3 linked regions of the Drosophila melanogaster genome follow. Changing the gene in region 3 together with the main gene of any one other region gives a genetic interaction. Each region holds a gene or a part of one and is shown on either strand. Other genes may lie near its edges.

Evidence for each region.
Region 1: of ebd1 (region 3) and ewg, changing one enhances a phenotype caused by changing the other (phenotypic enhancement), as found in Drosophila melanogaster (one study listed by BioGRID).
Region 2: of ebd1 (region 3) and Apc, changing one suppresses a phenotype caused by changing the other (phenotypic suppression), as found in Drosophila melanogaster (2 studies listed by BioGRID).

What each region holds. Positions count from the first base shown.
Region 1 is NC_004354.4:275,992-281,276, forward strand, and holds the start of ewg (erect wing), read right to left. Parts: upstream 3,644-5,285; 5' UTR 3,194-3,643; intron 387-3,193; exon of another isoform or gene 1-386. UniProt on the Drosophila melanogaster protein: May function as a positive regulator of transcription in developing and differentiated neurons, regulating common aspects of neuronal differentiation and maintenance. Requirement in the CNS may be higher than in the peripheral system.
Region 2 is NT_033777.3:28,841,106-28,846,586, forward strand, and holds the start of Apc (APC-like), read right to left. Parts: upstream 3,644-5,481; 5' UTR 3,455-3,643; intron 1,179-3,454; exon of another isoform or gene 1,114-1,178; intron 1-1,113. Other genes in the region: spg (sponge), read left to right, coding at 4,862-4,895.
Region 3 is NT_037436.4:681,821-687,964, forward strand, and holds ebd1 (earthbound 1), read right to left. Parts: upstream 3,730-6,144; 5' UTR 3,328-3,729; coding exon 3,208-3,327; intron 2,872-3,207; coding exon 1,246-2,871; 3' UTR 1,065-1,245; downstream 1-1,064. Other genes in the region: hiro (highroad), read right to left, coding at 4,171-4,466, 4,522-4,707, 4,761-5,552, 5,982-6,048.

The DNA.
Region 1 (5,285 bases), on a different chromosome or scaffold from region 3:
TCTCTAGTTAATTTTCTGTTCAATTTTGGTTATTTTTATATCCTAAGTCAACTCTTAACTTTTGGCACACACTTTTTGTAGTACAAAAAATAAAATGAGTAATTTTTGGAACGAGATAAGGGCCGCTAACGAACCGCACAACACTGCTTTTAGTCGCTCTCTGTGCTCAAGTTCTATTTGCGTTTGCTCAGAAACTCAAAATCCAACGACGGCAACGCGGCGGCAGAAAGAGAGGGTGCTAGCTGATAGCAAGAGAAGGCACTATCTGGCAGAAAAGAGAAAGAACGACAAACCACCCCATGGAGTGATTCCGACGTCGACGCAGTAAAAAATCAATACGGCGCCCATGCGTCAATATTGCTGCTTGAAATGGGTATATGGAATTCTCGCCGTCTTTCTCTGTCCAGGGGCTTTATTAAAAATACCACTTTATTTATGTGTTATGAATGTTATTACTTGAATGTTCTTATAACTTCGGTTAAACGTGCACTACTGTGTCTCCATTAAAGCTCCCTTACTTTAAACCAGAAGAGCTCAGATATATGAGCTGTTATCAACACCCCTAATAGGAATGTATAAGGAGAGATTCGGGCTCCGAAAAAACCAACCCCTTAAATCCCACACCTTTCACCGCACTGAATACACACGCAAACTCGCCCAGCTCGAGGTGCACCTCACGATGAAACTATCTTATGCAGTGTTTTTATTTATTTTCCTTGGATCTTTTTTAAACTACCACGCATGCACTACTCGAACTACCCAATCACCCCCGCGAAACAATGCAGTGGGAACACCACCAACTCCCACGTCCTTATAGGGGATGTGAGCACGACCCACTTGCGCGTGCCACACATATATCGAGAAAAGTGGCCCAGCAAAAGTGAGCACACTTCTAAACCTTGATTGTAATCAAAATAGGCATCTGATGATGAGAGAAAGGGGAAAAGAGTAGAGAGAGTATATGTTCACCCCCTAAGACACATACATATATACATTCTTATCCGGATTCTGAAAAAGGTGGGTGATGAAATTGTGTGAAGGAACCTAAAGTATTGCCAAATTAAAAAGCTCTGCGTTTGTTGGATGTAGTCTTCAGGTTTTCTTTCTAATTATAGAAGTAGGCCATTTTAGAGTCCTTTAAGATTTAAGGCCTACACAGTGATGCCCACAGGTTGCAGTAAGCGCAACTAAACTTTGTGTCGGAAGTTAGCAACACTGTAAAGAAGGCATTTGCGATGTATACTATTCTTGATCAGTGTCAACACCACAGGCGACAAAGCCACGTCCGTCTATACGTGTCTACGAAAATTATTCTCTTAGTTTTAATGTTATATGCTTGCACCTTTTCCAAGAGTATTCTTTGTCTTGCACATGGTATATTATTCGGTACGGAATAATAAAAAAAAAAATAATTTAAAAAAGTGTAGCATCGTTGTTTTAACATCTGTACATATATATACATAAGTATATATATATATATATACATATATACACTTCAATATATTTCGGTTGTAATTGCATCGAGAAGTCGAAAAGTCACAGGGAAATTGAGGAAAAAGAATCCTAGTTTGTTTTTATATTTCGCACAAAGCGTATACTCGTAAAAGCCGTTTTTGACATCATAATTTCGGTTTCAATTTGATCAAAATATTAGAAAAGAAATTATACTCTTGTTGTATCCGATCATAAATTCTTCTTATTCGGTGTTTTCTCAATTTACTATTTAATGTAAGCGTATGTGTGCTTTCGCGTTTTATATGTATTCTTAAGGCAATTTTTAGTATTCGTGAATATTTCATTATTTTTGAATATTTAAATTCTTTAACCCCAGCTTCCGTAAACTCCAAAAAGTTACTGCCGTTTACATCGAAGTATCGTTTATTCTATCTATACATATATAGGAAAATTAAAAATACCTTAAGACACTTTTTTATAATTTTAAGCATGCAAGACTAACAGCCGCAATAATTACCAAATTATGATAAGACAATTTGTTATGTTCTGCAAAGAATTGACCCCACCGTGTTTTTTTACTTTCCCTTTCCCACAATCGAATTTTCTTGGTACTGCTGTTTCTCTCTCTCCCTCTCTTAATTTCCCACCATACTCTTTTTTCTGTGCTGGACAGCACAGCTCTACAAAAATGAAATGATAACAGCGAAAATACAAACGAGAGGCAAGTTACGCATGCGAAGGTTGTCGCGGCAGTGGAGTCGGCGCAAAGACCACCACTGTTCATAGCAATGCAGTGACAGAAATATACATATGTATGTACATATACAACCAACAGTAAGAGTTCGTAGGAGTTTATAGTCGGGGAAACAGGAAAATACCAGCAAAAATGTAATCTTCTTGTTATGTCTAAATTTTTATATTTGTTTGAGCTATTAAATGTTCTTGACTATCTTAAACTCATCTCGAGTAGAAACTATTTTTGTTAGGCATGTGTTTAAATCGGCCATAAAATAAATAAAATACTCTTATTCCTTAGATTTAAAAGATGTAACAAATATAATCTGTAATTGTAGGCTGGCCGTTGCCCTGTTCCAATTGGAACTGTACTTTTATAGCCCACCCCAATACAACCTATAACAGTGGCGTCCTTCACTATTGGAACTGGAAAAACCCAATGAAGGTTGCTGTGAGCTAGCCATCCCGCTCTGTTTATCCATGTGTGTATCTACAAATTTTTCGTCTCTAGGGGGTGGTTTGGGTGTTTTTCGCAACCCCAAAAACGTCAGAATCACACAGACACAGATGCATCAAAAACACGCATACCTTCCAATGCAAATGGGAAATGCGTGTGCTGTCGTGCACACAATTGGAAGTGATACCTGTTTGGCGTTTCTATTCTACAACCCTACTTTACACATCATCCTTCCTATCGGAGTTTCCTGTCTTTGTTTTAACTTTTAGCTGAGGCGCATGGTTAAGTTACGGACACTCGCAGTTGGATTTTCATTTACGGCGCCGATGTAACGGTAACACAAGCTAAATACACCAGCACACATATATGATAACCTAATACACACACACAAGCCAGCAAGAACCGTTAGCTCAGAAACTCCGAAACTTTTGGGCATTCACTTATGCCACTACAAATCTCTATATACACATATAAATTATAGACTGTCACAGTGGAAAATCGGAAAATTTGTTGACCCCTACCACTAGTTTACACCCACATACGCACCTGTGTATTTTTGTTGTTTTTCCAGCTCCTTTATGATAACACACATACACACTCACAAAGAAAAAAAAGGCGCACGCACACGAACGCGCCGCCGCTATTGTGCATTGGTGTGTTTGCCCCTGCGCCGAAAATTTTCTTTGGCGTTTATTTATTATCACACTGCACATGCGAATATTCCGTGCATTTTACATTTGCGCACTGCCGTTTCTAGGTTGTAGCTCCAAAATTTCCCGCTCGCAAAGTTTCGCTGTTTTCCCTCACGATGCTTTTCCGTTAGCTTAGTTTTCAGCTGCCTGTCCCAGCACTTTTCCCCAAGTTTCGACGCAATTTTGCGATTTAATTTAGCCGAGGAATGGTATTTAGTACATGACAAATATCGATATACAGCACGCGTGATTTTTTCAGACGTCGATAATGTACACGCAATACATATCGCAGTCGAAGGAAAGCGGTCACTCTAAAATGCATAGGAGAAACGAGGATTGGCGGTCCCACTAATTGTGCTATTTAAGTTTAAATTCAAGTCCCCCTAGCGGACTTATATTAGTTGAAAAATTGATTGTATATTTTTGAGTAAGCATATAATAATCCATAAATATAATAATATAATAATAATTTTTGATATAAGAAATTTAAGTTTTCTGGTGCCAAAAAGATTTTAGTCTTTCTATGCAGGGAAAATTTGTTCCCTGGGCTTGCCACGTCCTCTATTACACTCACATATTTATAATAGTTTCATATTTATTTAGTTTGTTATTTTTTAGAAGAGTTTTTAAATTTCTCTCTAGCACTCCACCATCTCCGTATCTGATAAGAGACAGTTTATTAGTAGCTTTTTTTAAAGGTTTATATTATGAACGCTACAAAGAATATACAACATTTGATCCACGAATTAATCAGATGTAGTTATTAATGTAACAAAACTTTTAGGATACCCCAAAATAATGGTAAATTTTAAACAGTCGAAAAATTTATTATTCGGGAGTCGAACTGCAATTACACGTAAGCCCTTCACAAGGCAGCTAGCAATATTTAAAAAGGAGTAAGCTAGCCAGGCCAAATGAAAAACTGACATACAATCAACTTCGTATTTCACACGCGGGAAATTTAACAAAAAATAAAAAACAAAAAAATAGTTTAGGGATATGAAATCCTGAAGGATTGGTAAACTAGAACGACCGAAGACGACTAACTGCTTGCCACCAAAAATGTTGGGTTTTTATGTCCGTCGTCGGCACTCACACAATAAAATTCATTATTAGGATGTATATAGTGATAAAAGGAATTGTTTTTTTTTAACACAGATTGCCCGTATGTAAAAACCAAAGAATTCATATTATATAAAAAGAAACCACAAGTTGCTTATCGCTGTGAAATGAGGCTGGTAGTGCGCTTGCACTATGGGGAATTTAACATGTTTTATTGGCATAAATTAATATCTCGTAAACTATTTAAGATACGATGAATTTAGAATTATTTTGGCAAAGTGGGTGCCCCGCCCACTCCCATAAAATTTTTTTTTTAAATCAATATATTCTATCTAATCCACCAATGTATTGGAGTTACACCATGTTTTAGATTGTCCACAATCGGTACAAACTTAAGTCTCTTAACATTTTTATTGATAAAAAAATCTTTCAGAGTCGCATTTCGTACACTTCTATCAGGGCCGCATTGCTGATTGCTACCTAAAAATGTAATCTTCGCGAAAAGTCACAATAAGTAGCATTCGCAAAAGTCGCGTTAACCGTATGTGTTCTAAGTAGGTAATTAATCACTCTAAAACATTGACTAACACACATATCAAAAATTTTTTGAAACTCAATTAATTTTCGTAAGCACTAAAAAAGAAGGTCATCGATGGCACGTGGTTTTTAACATTGATTAATTTACATTTGCGTTACATAACTTAAGCCTTGATCTTAATCCGTTAAGAAAAAAGTGTTCAACAATTGAAACATTTTTAAAAACACATTTATGCCAAAAAACGAATCAAATTCCCCATAGTGGCTTTGGATTTATCTGAAACTTGGCCCTACTTATTCCTTATCGGCAATTCTTCCGGAATTCTACACGAACTGGCCTTATCGGT
Region 2 (5,481 bases), on a different chromosome or scaffold from region 3:
AATGTAAAAAGGCATAGGCGTGTGTCTCGAAAAAGATGATATTGAATGTATATATTTCTTTTTTCTTAACACTCATTCGAAGCTCAACTTAATTATAGTTTATTTAACTGAGGAAAGTTAAAACAGCAAGTTAAGCATGGGAAAATATTGGCAGTCGTCAGTTTAGTGCCTACACTTAACTCATCATGAGCATATGACTCGCTTTATGATCGATGGAAACTATGTATGTCAGCTTTATGATATGAAAATCCAGCCAAGATAAATGCTATCTTAAGCGGTGAAGTCATTGCGCCAAATTTTAAGGAAATGATCCAAAGCCTCAAGTTTCTTGTAGTTCTTGTTGTTTTATTTTAGAACACCACATAAAATATAAAAGCGAAATATATAAATTCATCTTAATGGGAAACCAATTTAATAGCTTTTCACTTTTTAATTGGCCGACCCCTATCTATCTATAAGGTTGCTCGGTAGGATCGACTTTCTAAGCAGATGCTTGGATGCTGTTGTATCCCAGAAGAATTCGCCTATTGTGGCAGGTTCTGTGCATTGCCTGCTCTATCGCTCTGTAACTTAATCATCGGCCAACATTCAGGTGGCGGCAGCCACAATAGCAAATGAGCAGCTAAGTCATTATCATGATTAGCTGGCGCTGCATCTTTTTAGAAAGTTAGCGGCACACGGCGTCGTCTTTGCGGAATTTCCAGTGCATGAAGAAAGATACAGATGCGTTTTCAGCAGATATATTATATTGCCTCGGCTCTCATTGTTGTTGCTACACACACTCCATAAGCACAAGACATATTTCTCATTTGAGCTACCGTTGAATTATGTGCAAATGCAATTTGGTGCTGCACTTCTTTTTTTTCAGCTGTTATTGTAGCGTAAAATTGAGCGTGGACGGACAGAAGTGCATAAATATGTATGTACACAGAGAGAAAATAACGTAACTAACGTAAGGTCACTATTAAGTTATTTACACAACTTTAATCAAGGGTCAAATAAATCCTTGGGGTTCTTAAATCAATCTACAAAGTGTCTTAAAGTATGGCACAATTTATTTACTGCATAATTTTAGATATCGAATGAAAAGGAATATAACAAATGATTTGATACCTTGTATTTTCAAGCATTTTTTCACTGTGTACCCAATCCAATTCAAGACTTCAAGTGGATTGAGTTTGGGATTGGGAATGACCCGGGTCGTGTACCAGTTCTGGCTCCGCACAAGTCGACTTGTTCAAGCTCCAATTGGCAAATTAATCAAATTTTAATTGCGACCAGCGTAAAGAGCGAAAACAGCCGGCGAACGAAAAGTGGTAACCGCAATTTGAGTGGCTGTGAAATGCAAATCGCTTGTGTAACAGCGGAAATGCATCCATCCATCCAAGCCACTCGATTGGAATGCCGCACTGGACACAGTGGCCATCGTTCATCATTGCCGATCGATTGTTTGCCTAGGCCTCAAATATATAAAATATGTGATCAGCCGGCACTATCACCGCCTTGATAAGGCACACAGTTCGGCTCCACCGATTAACATTTAGCAAGAGTCACGATATCAGTGCTCTCGAGGCCAAGAATTCGAAAGACGAACAGAGCAGAGTAGAGCGATTCGATGAATCAACGATCCGCGAATTAGACAAACACAAGTATCTAGATACGACATAGATACTTTTAGTACCCCAAAGAATGCGAGAATATGCGTCACTTGTCTAGCCAAGAGCCGTGTACCCGGTCCCCCAGAGACGACTCCTCGTGTCATTAACCGGCCAGCGAGTCGCACAAGGGAATCAGCCCTGCACAATGGACACAATTCGACTCCAAGCGTTTCGAGTCAACTGTATTGGGAAACTAAATTGGTTCGCATAGTTAGCGAAAACAGAAACAACCCCACGCTTTGAAATAAAATACAAGTGCCATAGTTTAGCGGATAGAAAGTGAATCAGACTGACAAACTTTTAGTCACCCAGTTTCTATTTCTTTCAGAGATAACGAGATTTCAAAAACAAATGTGACTTATTGCTTGAATAACACTTGCTTAGTAAGACTTACTAAGCACTTACTTAAACTGATAGGTGTAAAAGAATAAATAAAAGTGTTTATTTGATAATTGTATATCCAAATATTTGCATAATTAAATGAATTATGAGAATGAACAATTCCATTTTTGGTAATATGCATATAAATTAAGCATTTGTGTAGCATGGGTGGATCAGATTTGGATTTTGAAAGATAAAGCTTCATCACCTTATAGAGGGTAAGGTCTTAAAAGTTATTTTAAACCGACATATGAATACCTAATTTGGAAAGTGTAATTTGTTGTGATAAAATGAATACTAGGTTGAAATATTTGAAAGAGGGAAATATTTTTTTTGGCAGATTGATGATCTGAAGGGTGGTTTTCGTCACACCCTCCCCTAAAAATGGTACAATTACAATTACAATTAGAAGGGAATAGCAAAAATAAAAAATATTTCTCCAATAAGTGAATTCCCATTAAGCTAATAACCAATTTTGCCACCACATCGCCCCATCCCACCCACTGTGCGGTTTTTTGGCTTGGCACACATTTTGCATACGAAATATTCGCGGCAGAATTATCAAAGAAAAAAGAATGGAAGATTTGCGGGGGAAGGAAAAGCGGTAAAGATGATGACACCGCGAGCCATCAAACCACAGGGAAATGTACGCAAAAACATTAAATAATGAAACTACATACTAACTACTGTACATATGTACATATGTATGTACTTATGATTTCTGTGTGTGCATTTATGAGCTGGTTTAATGAACGCCACTTTTGTTTTGCTGCCCGGTTGTTTTGTGTCTTTGCCGCCGCGAGATGATGATTATGTAAATTGTAGAAAAGTAAAAGGGAAACTAAATACGAGCGCATGCAGTGTGGAATTGTGTTTTCCTTTTCTCCCATGTTTGTGGGCATGTAAGACAATCGAGCGTGCCGATATTAACGTATTTTCCTTAATGCGGTGATTAATTATGCTGAGGTGAAGTTGAATGGAAGTGCTCGAAAATAGTTATCAATTAGGCGTGCCACAATCACTTGCAGCTGTTGGAAAACTAAAACGAAAACAACAACAACGAAACAAACGAAACACACTGCGTTTTCCAACTGATAAAGGAGCACTCACACACATAGACACACACATGCACGCACTTTGCACACCCACACTAGGGCGCAGTCGCGTTCTGATTGGGACCTTTATTGATTTTTCCTGTAAAAGGAATCGGCAGGAGAACAGGAAACTACTAAAGAGTATCTCATGCTCCAAGTTGAGCTAAACACATTTGTATTCGCCAGCTGTATATGGTGCGCATTTATTGAGTAAACATTCTGCGTTTTATTGTCAGGCCCAAAAAGAACAATTCCAATTGGAAGAGTCAGCGACTATACTCCCACACACACACGAACCCAGAGATTCTCCGATTGGCGTACCTTGACTAAAAACACAATTTCTCGGCAGCTTCCTCGCCCACCAGATGACACATTTCCCGCTTTATCACTTGTTTGCCCACAGATATTGCCACTATTTGGATTCTTGGCTTGTTTCGCGACAAAACAAATACGCAGCGCGGCCGAAATTCCGAGTCCGCTTATCAACAAAAATTGCGACCAACCGCGGCGAGCAGTGTGACTGTTATATCGAGAATTCGAAAAACCAACAAGAAATAGCTGCTAGGGATGGGAGAATGTAGCGATATCTTGGGATCATATATATCGCTTGAATATTTACTTCGTTCGTAATATATTTATACTGCAATTTATTTTCTAACCTTAAAGATTTAGTGCTTATATTTTATTCATTATATATCTCGGTTAAGTAATACGTACACCGTTAATTTAAAAGAAAAAATTTAAAAAAAAATGGGATAGAGTTAATGGGGCCGAGTCAGACCAACGCTATGGACTGCATATTAAAACGGATTTGGTATTGTTTTGTTTGTTAAATTATTGAATACATTGAATGAATGTGCCTCCAAAACTGTAACTGCGAATTGGTTCGGGTCTTAGCTAGACCATAAATACCGGTGTGACCGTCACCGCTAAAATGAAAATTCCCTCAAAAATGCAATAGTAAATAATCCATCGCTTAGCAACTGGCCACACTGCAACGTATATAAGCCGACGAATCCCGAATTTTGTTGTTGTTCTTCAAACAGCTGAGCGGCGGACGGATATTTGTTGTTGCTGCGCCCGGGAAGCTGCGCAGCGGAGAACGCGAAAAATAATAAAACGCAAAAAATAGCGAAAATTAAACGCGTTGCAAGTGCAGCAGAAAACAACGGTAATAATTCGCGAAGCCAAGGGACAAGCAATTTAAATTGCGCACAGTGTAGAAATCCAATTGGAAGTTCGGCTGGGAGTCCCAAATTCGTATTGATTTTCTTGTTTGTGTGTGCGCGGGTCCGTGAAAAAGGCAACAAAAGCAAAGCCACCACTTCCAGACTTCCCAATCAGCCACTTCCTTTTCTTCCACCTAGCGGTAATCATTGCCAATTGGAACCGCGATCGTTGCCTTCCAGCGACAACAACAATGTAGCAAGTGTATTTTCTGCTTGTAGTTGTAGTTATTAAACAAGATAAAGTGCGAGAAAGAGAAGGAGATAGACAACAACAAAAGCGAAAGTTTTATTGAGTGCGTAGATGTGTACGAGTGTGTATGTGTGCTATTGCGAAAAATTGTTGATAAATATTGGCCGTTATAAATGCGAATTCAAATGCAGATATTTGCCGATGAAAAGGGTGTTTCCTCAAAAAACCGTTGATTAATTATAAATGCAAGGAGTGGCCGGCTAAGTTGGATTTTTTCGGCTTAACTTGCAGCGAAGCAGCAGCGACAAAATGTGGATACCTTCGAACAACAAATACGGAGTTGGTGAGTAAATAATAAGAGTAGGCGGTGTGCCACCCACTTTTCCAAGCTACCCACCACCCCCCGCTGGGCGTCACGTGCGCGGCCTTTGTTTTTATTGCTGCCTTTTGCGGCGATTCACGCGTTTTTCCGCGAAACGCCGGATACCATGCCAACCACCCCCGCACGTTACCGAGCGGGGAGGAAAAGCGACTTTTCTACTTATTTTTGTACACAAACTGTTTGTAGCATCATCATCCCCCAGTTCACCGCACCGCCCCCCCCCCCTTTCCATGCAGCGTGTAGTGTATCTCAAAGAGATTTCCCTGTTTGTTGTTGCTGCCGCTGCGCTGCGATTTGATGTGTTTATACACACAGTTTTCCGCGCGCTCAGTTTTCCCGCACAGCGCTCGGCTGTCGCGTTGCCAATTTCCCCCCAGCCCAGGTGTTGCCAATTTAAATGCTTTCGTAATTACGAACACCTAAAAAAATGTTTATTTCGCAGACAAAATATATATTTGTCCAAGTTCATATGGTTGATTTTGATTTGAAACGTTTCTCTGATTCTGATCTGAAAATAACTACATCTTAATTATATTTCCTAGTATGC
Region 3 (6,144 bases):
TACCATATCCATTGGCATATAAACATAAATATTTACTTTTTCTGTTGTTCAAGCCAATCAGCTGTTGTTGATTACAGTTGGCCAGAGTTGCCACTTCTAGCGTCTAGTGTTGGTAAACACCTCACATACTCCCACTGATTGTTGTAGTTGCTCTGGATCTGGATGCTCATATATGTATAAACTTATTTCCACCACCTGACGACCGGCGTTATGCTCTCCTCAAGCGACAATCACAAACTGAATTGATGTAGAGCCGAAACGGGCGGGTGTGTGTGCATGTGTCTCGATTGAGTGATTGATTAGCCGACTGACCCGATGGGCATGTGCATGTGTGCGTGTGGAAATGCACAATAAATCATTTGATTCCCACATACTGCTTGAAAACAAAAACGTAGCTGAATCCGATTTTCTTATTGTATTAGTTTTAATTATATGGATTAAACAATGACTTACAGCTCCCCCGCAATTTAGGTGCACGTGTGTGCGGGAGAGGAAAGCAGCAAATATTCAGACTTTAACTAAGGGCAGACCTGCGCACTTACCCATCTTAGCCCCAATCAAGATTGTCGGCATAAGGAAATCATCAGCAAAGTATGAATTTATTTTAACTCGCTCTCCAAAATTTCACACTGATCAGGGAAAATTTTAAAATACACTCTGAATCAGGGAAATTCTCTCTTTAACAAGATAGAATTCAATGATTGACCTCTTTGTTCCGTTATTTTCATTTACATGCGCTTTGTCTCTTTCTCTCTTCTGGCTCGCCTGTGTGTGTGTGTGTGGGTGACCTCCCGCCCGGCAAAAAAAGAAGAAGAAGCCCAACTAAGGGCAGACATGCGCACTTCGAAAAAAAAACAATTAGCGCGTATATTTAGCCGACTTTTTGTTCTGGCGAGAATGTGTGGAAGGAAATGTAGCTGTTATAACATACAACACAGGTCAAAATAATAGGGTTACAGTCGGGAGCATAGTATAAAATAGTTCCAACAGACCAATTGACAATTGACATTAGCTCATTCATCACAATATTTTATAACCACATCAAATTTACTCACTAGAAACTTGGTTTGATTGCGTTTATTTGGTTCGAATACAAATTATGTTCACCTTAGATCTAATGATTGATTGCATCCGACCGATGTGCATCTTCTAGATGCATCAGTTTGCAAAGATTACACTCTTTGGCTGCAGCTATTCCTCCTCCTCTTCGTTCTCCTTCATGTGGCGCTCACTGTTTGGAGCATTCTACGGCACATTGTCATCCATTTCGCGCATCACTTCATCGGCTCGTGTGATCAGCTCAATCAGCCGGTAGTTCTCCTTGTACAGAGCAAACTCCTCGAGTAGCTTTAGGTACTTGCGTGCATCGGCGCAGCTGATGACACTGGACCCACTTTCTTGGCCGGATCCCCCATTGTTGTTATCGTCTTGGGCGGACTCATAGCGACGTTTGGTGCCCTGGCGAGGATTCAGCGAGTTTTCAACTGCCGCAGGCGAACTCACCTTTCGCTGCCGCATCTGCTCGATGTACTCCATCTCGTCCTCCACATTGGCCGCCAGAACCTCGGCCAGCGAGGTGACACTGGAGCGACCATTGTTCGCGTCTTCATCGAGATCCGCTGGGTCTTGGTCCAGTTCCGATTCCAGCTCAGCCTCTGGCTCCACTTTTATGTGCACTGTAGGCGGAATTTCAAGATCCTTTTCCCTTTGTGCTCGGTCATCGTTCTCCTGGAGCTCCGCCTCGGGCTGCTTCGCCAGGAGCTCTTCCGGGTCCTTGGGCTCCACTTTGATTTCCTTTTCCTGCTTGATCTCTAGTTTGGGCGGCGGTACCACCGGTCCTTTGTCCTGCTGCTGTGGGGCAGGAATCTTGGTGATGCTCTGAGCGAGCGTGGCTAGTGGTATGATGGTCATGGTCATGGGCTGTCCGCCCGCTTGCGTCGGAACAATGGGTGTGGCCAGGAGAACTTTTTGAGTGGTGCCTGGCGGTGTGTTAGCTTGGAGGGGCAGTCTAACTAGAGGCGGCAAGGGCTTCAGAGCCCTGGCAAAATTTAGTTCGCTTAGTGAGGGCTTGACATCAGGCTCCTCCTCCAGATCATCCTCGCCGCTAATACCGCCACCGTCGACATCCACCTCGTCATCCTCGTCTTCTACATAGCTGCGGGGATGGCTGCTCACCGGGCTGCCCAAGCTGACCTCTTCGTCATCCTCCTCGCCGTTCCGTGGCCCACTTTCCGGCATGCTTTCCGACATGACGTCCTTGACGATGTCCTTGATCTGCACCGAGTAGCCCTGCGTGTAGCCTATCTTCAACAGTCTGGTGTCGCTGTGTTGGATGCTGTAGGTGCGTCTGAACTTGTCGCACCACTCCTGGTGCGGAAAGAAATGTGCCAGGTTCATGGAGCTCTTGAACTGCAGCGCCATCTTCTGGATGAGTCCGTCGGAGATGCTGAAGTCCTTGTAGTACATCATGCGGCGTATCCAATCGTACACGGCCTTGCCCAACATCGAGACCCTGACGGTCTTCGTCTCCATGGTCTTGGCGTCCTGGCTCCTGCGGGTTCGCTGATCCCACGCGTTCAGAATCTCAGCGCGCTGCTGCACGATCCGCTTGATCTGATCTGGGCTGCAGTTGAACAGCCGGCCAACGTGCTTATAAACCGGCAGCCGATCGTATTCCCGCAGAGCAGCAACCTTTTCGTTGAGGGCCAGGACATTCTTGCGCTTGATGCGATTGTCGAAGGCCACCTTCTCGGCGGCCGGCAGGCTGGGGGTGTGCGTGCTAGTGGGTGTGGGTGATGCAGTCGAAGTGGGTGCTGCTGGTGGAGCAGGCGCAGGCGCAGGAGCTGGTGTGAGAACCTCCGTGTCAGTGGCCTAACGACGAAGGGAAAAAAAGTGCTGTTATTACCGGGTTTTATGGTAACAGTTGAAATCGTGCAAAGTAATGCCACCATGAATGTAGAGATACAGTGCTCCCTCTGAACATGAATAATGTAGACAAAACAACAGAAGGTCTTTGCATATTTAGTTATGTTAACAAAAGCAACAGTTAAGAAAGACGAAGTTTCAAGGAATACATGGGGCTTTTATACTCATACTCATTCAAGCTTATATACAAATAAACGCCTAGATCAAGTCATTTACACTCGTGTTCTTTGAGAAGTGAAATGGGGTGGAAACACTTTGCGAGGCTTGACTGTGGCCACTTACCTTCGCCTTGTTGTTGTTGTCCTGCGTCTTGGAGGCCTCCTTGTGCTCCTTTTTCTCCCTCTCCACGCGCTTCTCCACCCTCAGCTCCCTCTGCAACTTGCGTTTTTCGCGTATCCGCATTGTTTGTGCTTTCCGTGCAATTTACACGGCAATTGCCGTTTGTTTTCGTCTTGTTTGTTTTTGTTGCTGCTGCTGCGCCCACTCAATTTCGCCCACCCCTTGCACCCTTTCTGCTCTCTCACTCACACACCCGCCCGCCTGTGTGTGTGTGTCCGTGCGGCTGTGTGTGTGCGATGGCTACGATTATGCGCGTTGACTGTCAAGCGAATTCAAATCATTTCGTCACTGCTTTTCTCGCTTTTCTTTGGCCTTTCAATGCGCTTTGGCTCTATTCGCTTTCGTTTTCTCTTCCTAGGCACTCGATTTGTCTTCTGATTGTGATTTTCCAACTGGCCGTGCGCTGCACCTTGCGTATTTTCCGATGTCCGTGCGAACTAGACGACGACCCATACAAAAATAGCTGCCGCGTTATCTCGCGCAGTTTTCATTCTCTGCTCGCTCCCTCTCTCGCTCTCGCATGCGCAACGTGGGCAACTAGAACGGAAGGGAAGTCGGCGTGTGCGAGAGTGTGTGTGCGTGTGACCAGCTGAGAGGGTGCAACTGCGCATGCGACAACTTTACTGTTACTTTCGCCATGTGGCAACTCTGCAGGCGATCGCTTTTTAAGTAGAGTAAGATTAATGAGAACATACATATGTATGTATGTATTTTGTTTTCAGTTTAAGAATGAATTGATTTCACAAGATCTGCAACTAACTGCACTGTAAAATATAACTATAAAGTCTTTGCGAATTGTAATCAATATTTAATTTAAATTAATCGAACCACCACCAATTGGAAACCCACGAGTCCATACATTTCGAAAATAATCTTTATTTTAACGCTTTTCTCCGGCTAATTTGTTTAACCGAATTTGGTGAAGTGTCGCAGGATGTGCGACATGGCCGCGGGATTATCGGCAGGAACCATGTGACCAGCCCGGTTGACCCAAAACATGCTGAAGTTGCCATAGGTCTTCTCGTAACCCTCGAGAACTCGATCTACGGTGATTCCCACGCGCGGAGAGACCTGGTAAGATGGCTTGGCGGACCATTCCATTGCTTCGATCCAGTTGACGGCTCCCGGAGTGGCGCAAATCAGGTCCAGTCCTCCGGAGAACACGCCCACTTTTACGGTGGTGTTGTTCAGCAGTTCACCCACTAAAAGTGTCATAAGGCTATAATTTGAGGTAGCACCCAGACGGTTGAAACATACCAACATCCACAGCTGGCTTCATGAAATCGCCCATCAGCTTGGTGAAGGTGGTGCCGCTCTGGGCGCCCCATTTCACTCCGGTGTTGATTCCGAGGGCCTCGGTCACGGGTCCAAGCATTAGATCCTCCAGCAATTTGTCGCGGTCCTCATCCACATCGAATTTCACGAGGGTGCGATACATGACCTCTGGATAAGTGGTTGATGAGAATCAGCTCGGTAAGTTACGCAACGGATCTTACCCTCCGGAGTCATGGCAGCTCTGGACATCAACCTGTACTGATCACCCAATGTTGGGGTCTCCACGTTATAGAAGTCCACTCCCTTGGACTCGCGCAGCACCACTGACTGGGTGGAGCTCCACTGCAAAGTGGCCTGTGTCCACTTCTCGCGGTCAACATAGTCCTTAGTCTTCAGGGCCGAAGCTTCAATCTTGTCATGGCCATCCTGATCCACGATTCCCAACTGCAGCAGGAAGGGAGCCCACGAGAGCACAGAGTCTATGGGTGAGGTCCAGGGATCTCCCAAGGCCACCGAAACAAAGTTGCTCTCGATCTCACCGCGCTTGATGGCGTAATCCAACTCCAAAGCGAACTCCGGGGCCATCTTTCCGCCATAACTCTCGCAGAAGATGTGCAGCGGCACAGTCTTGAATTCCGGGTGGTTTGTGTAGAAGCCCTTCATCAGCTCAACGAGATCCAGGGCGATCTGCTTGTTGTTGGTCGTGTAGTAAGAAGATCCGTCCACGTAGCTGAAACCACTGCCCACGGGATTGTCGATGAACATCACGTTCATGTCCTTCACCCAAGTCCAGTCGCGGTAGCTGCCGTCGAGCTTCAGGGGACCCAACTCCTCAAAGTTTCCGTATCCCGTTGAGGAGGCACCTGGACCTCCTTGGAGCCAAATGGCCAGCGGACGCTCCGTGTAACTGGAGACATTGGCGGTGGTGTAGTACAGCCAGTAGAACATGTGGGCGCCAGTCCTGACATCCACAAATCCCCAATCCTGATCACCGGGTCCATAGCCCTTGCGTGCTGAGAGTATATTGAATTATAGCTCATTTCGATTAAATAGTTATTAATATACAAAGCTCTTTGATTTTGTAATTTCATGATAGCCCCTGATTTCTAGGGAACACTTGAGAAATCTAGCCTTTAAGTATATTAAACGGCTGCACGAGTAGCCATTTAGATAAGATTAATTGTTATAGATAGTGTAGATAGTTGATTGTATTGTCTTATAACAAACCGAATAGCGGTTGGTCACTGTATCTTTTACAATGGTAATAAGGTCTGTCCCCAAACGATTCATAAGTATTTCAATCTACGGATATAAAAGTAGGTAAAAAAGTCTGTAACAGATAATTCTGTTGGCCTGTTCTACAAGTCGTAAAGAACCGTTTGTTTTGGAACACTTTCTCACTGATTAGCACCCCTAATTGGAATACAAATCACGATTCTCACCGTCAACGGAAGCCAAGCCGGCAAATCCCAGTAGGGCCAAAAGTGCGATGATAGCGCGTCCAGCCATGTTGCACCAGTGTTTCAGTTCCAATTCCAAGAGACACCGATCGAGAGACAACCGCACACTTGGCAGTTCCACTGCCAATTGATCGCTGGTTGCTCC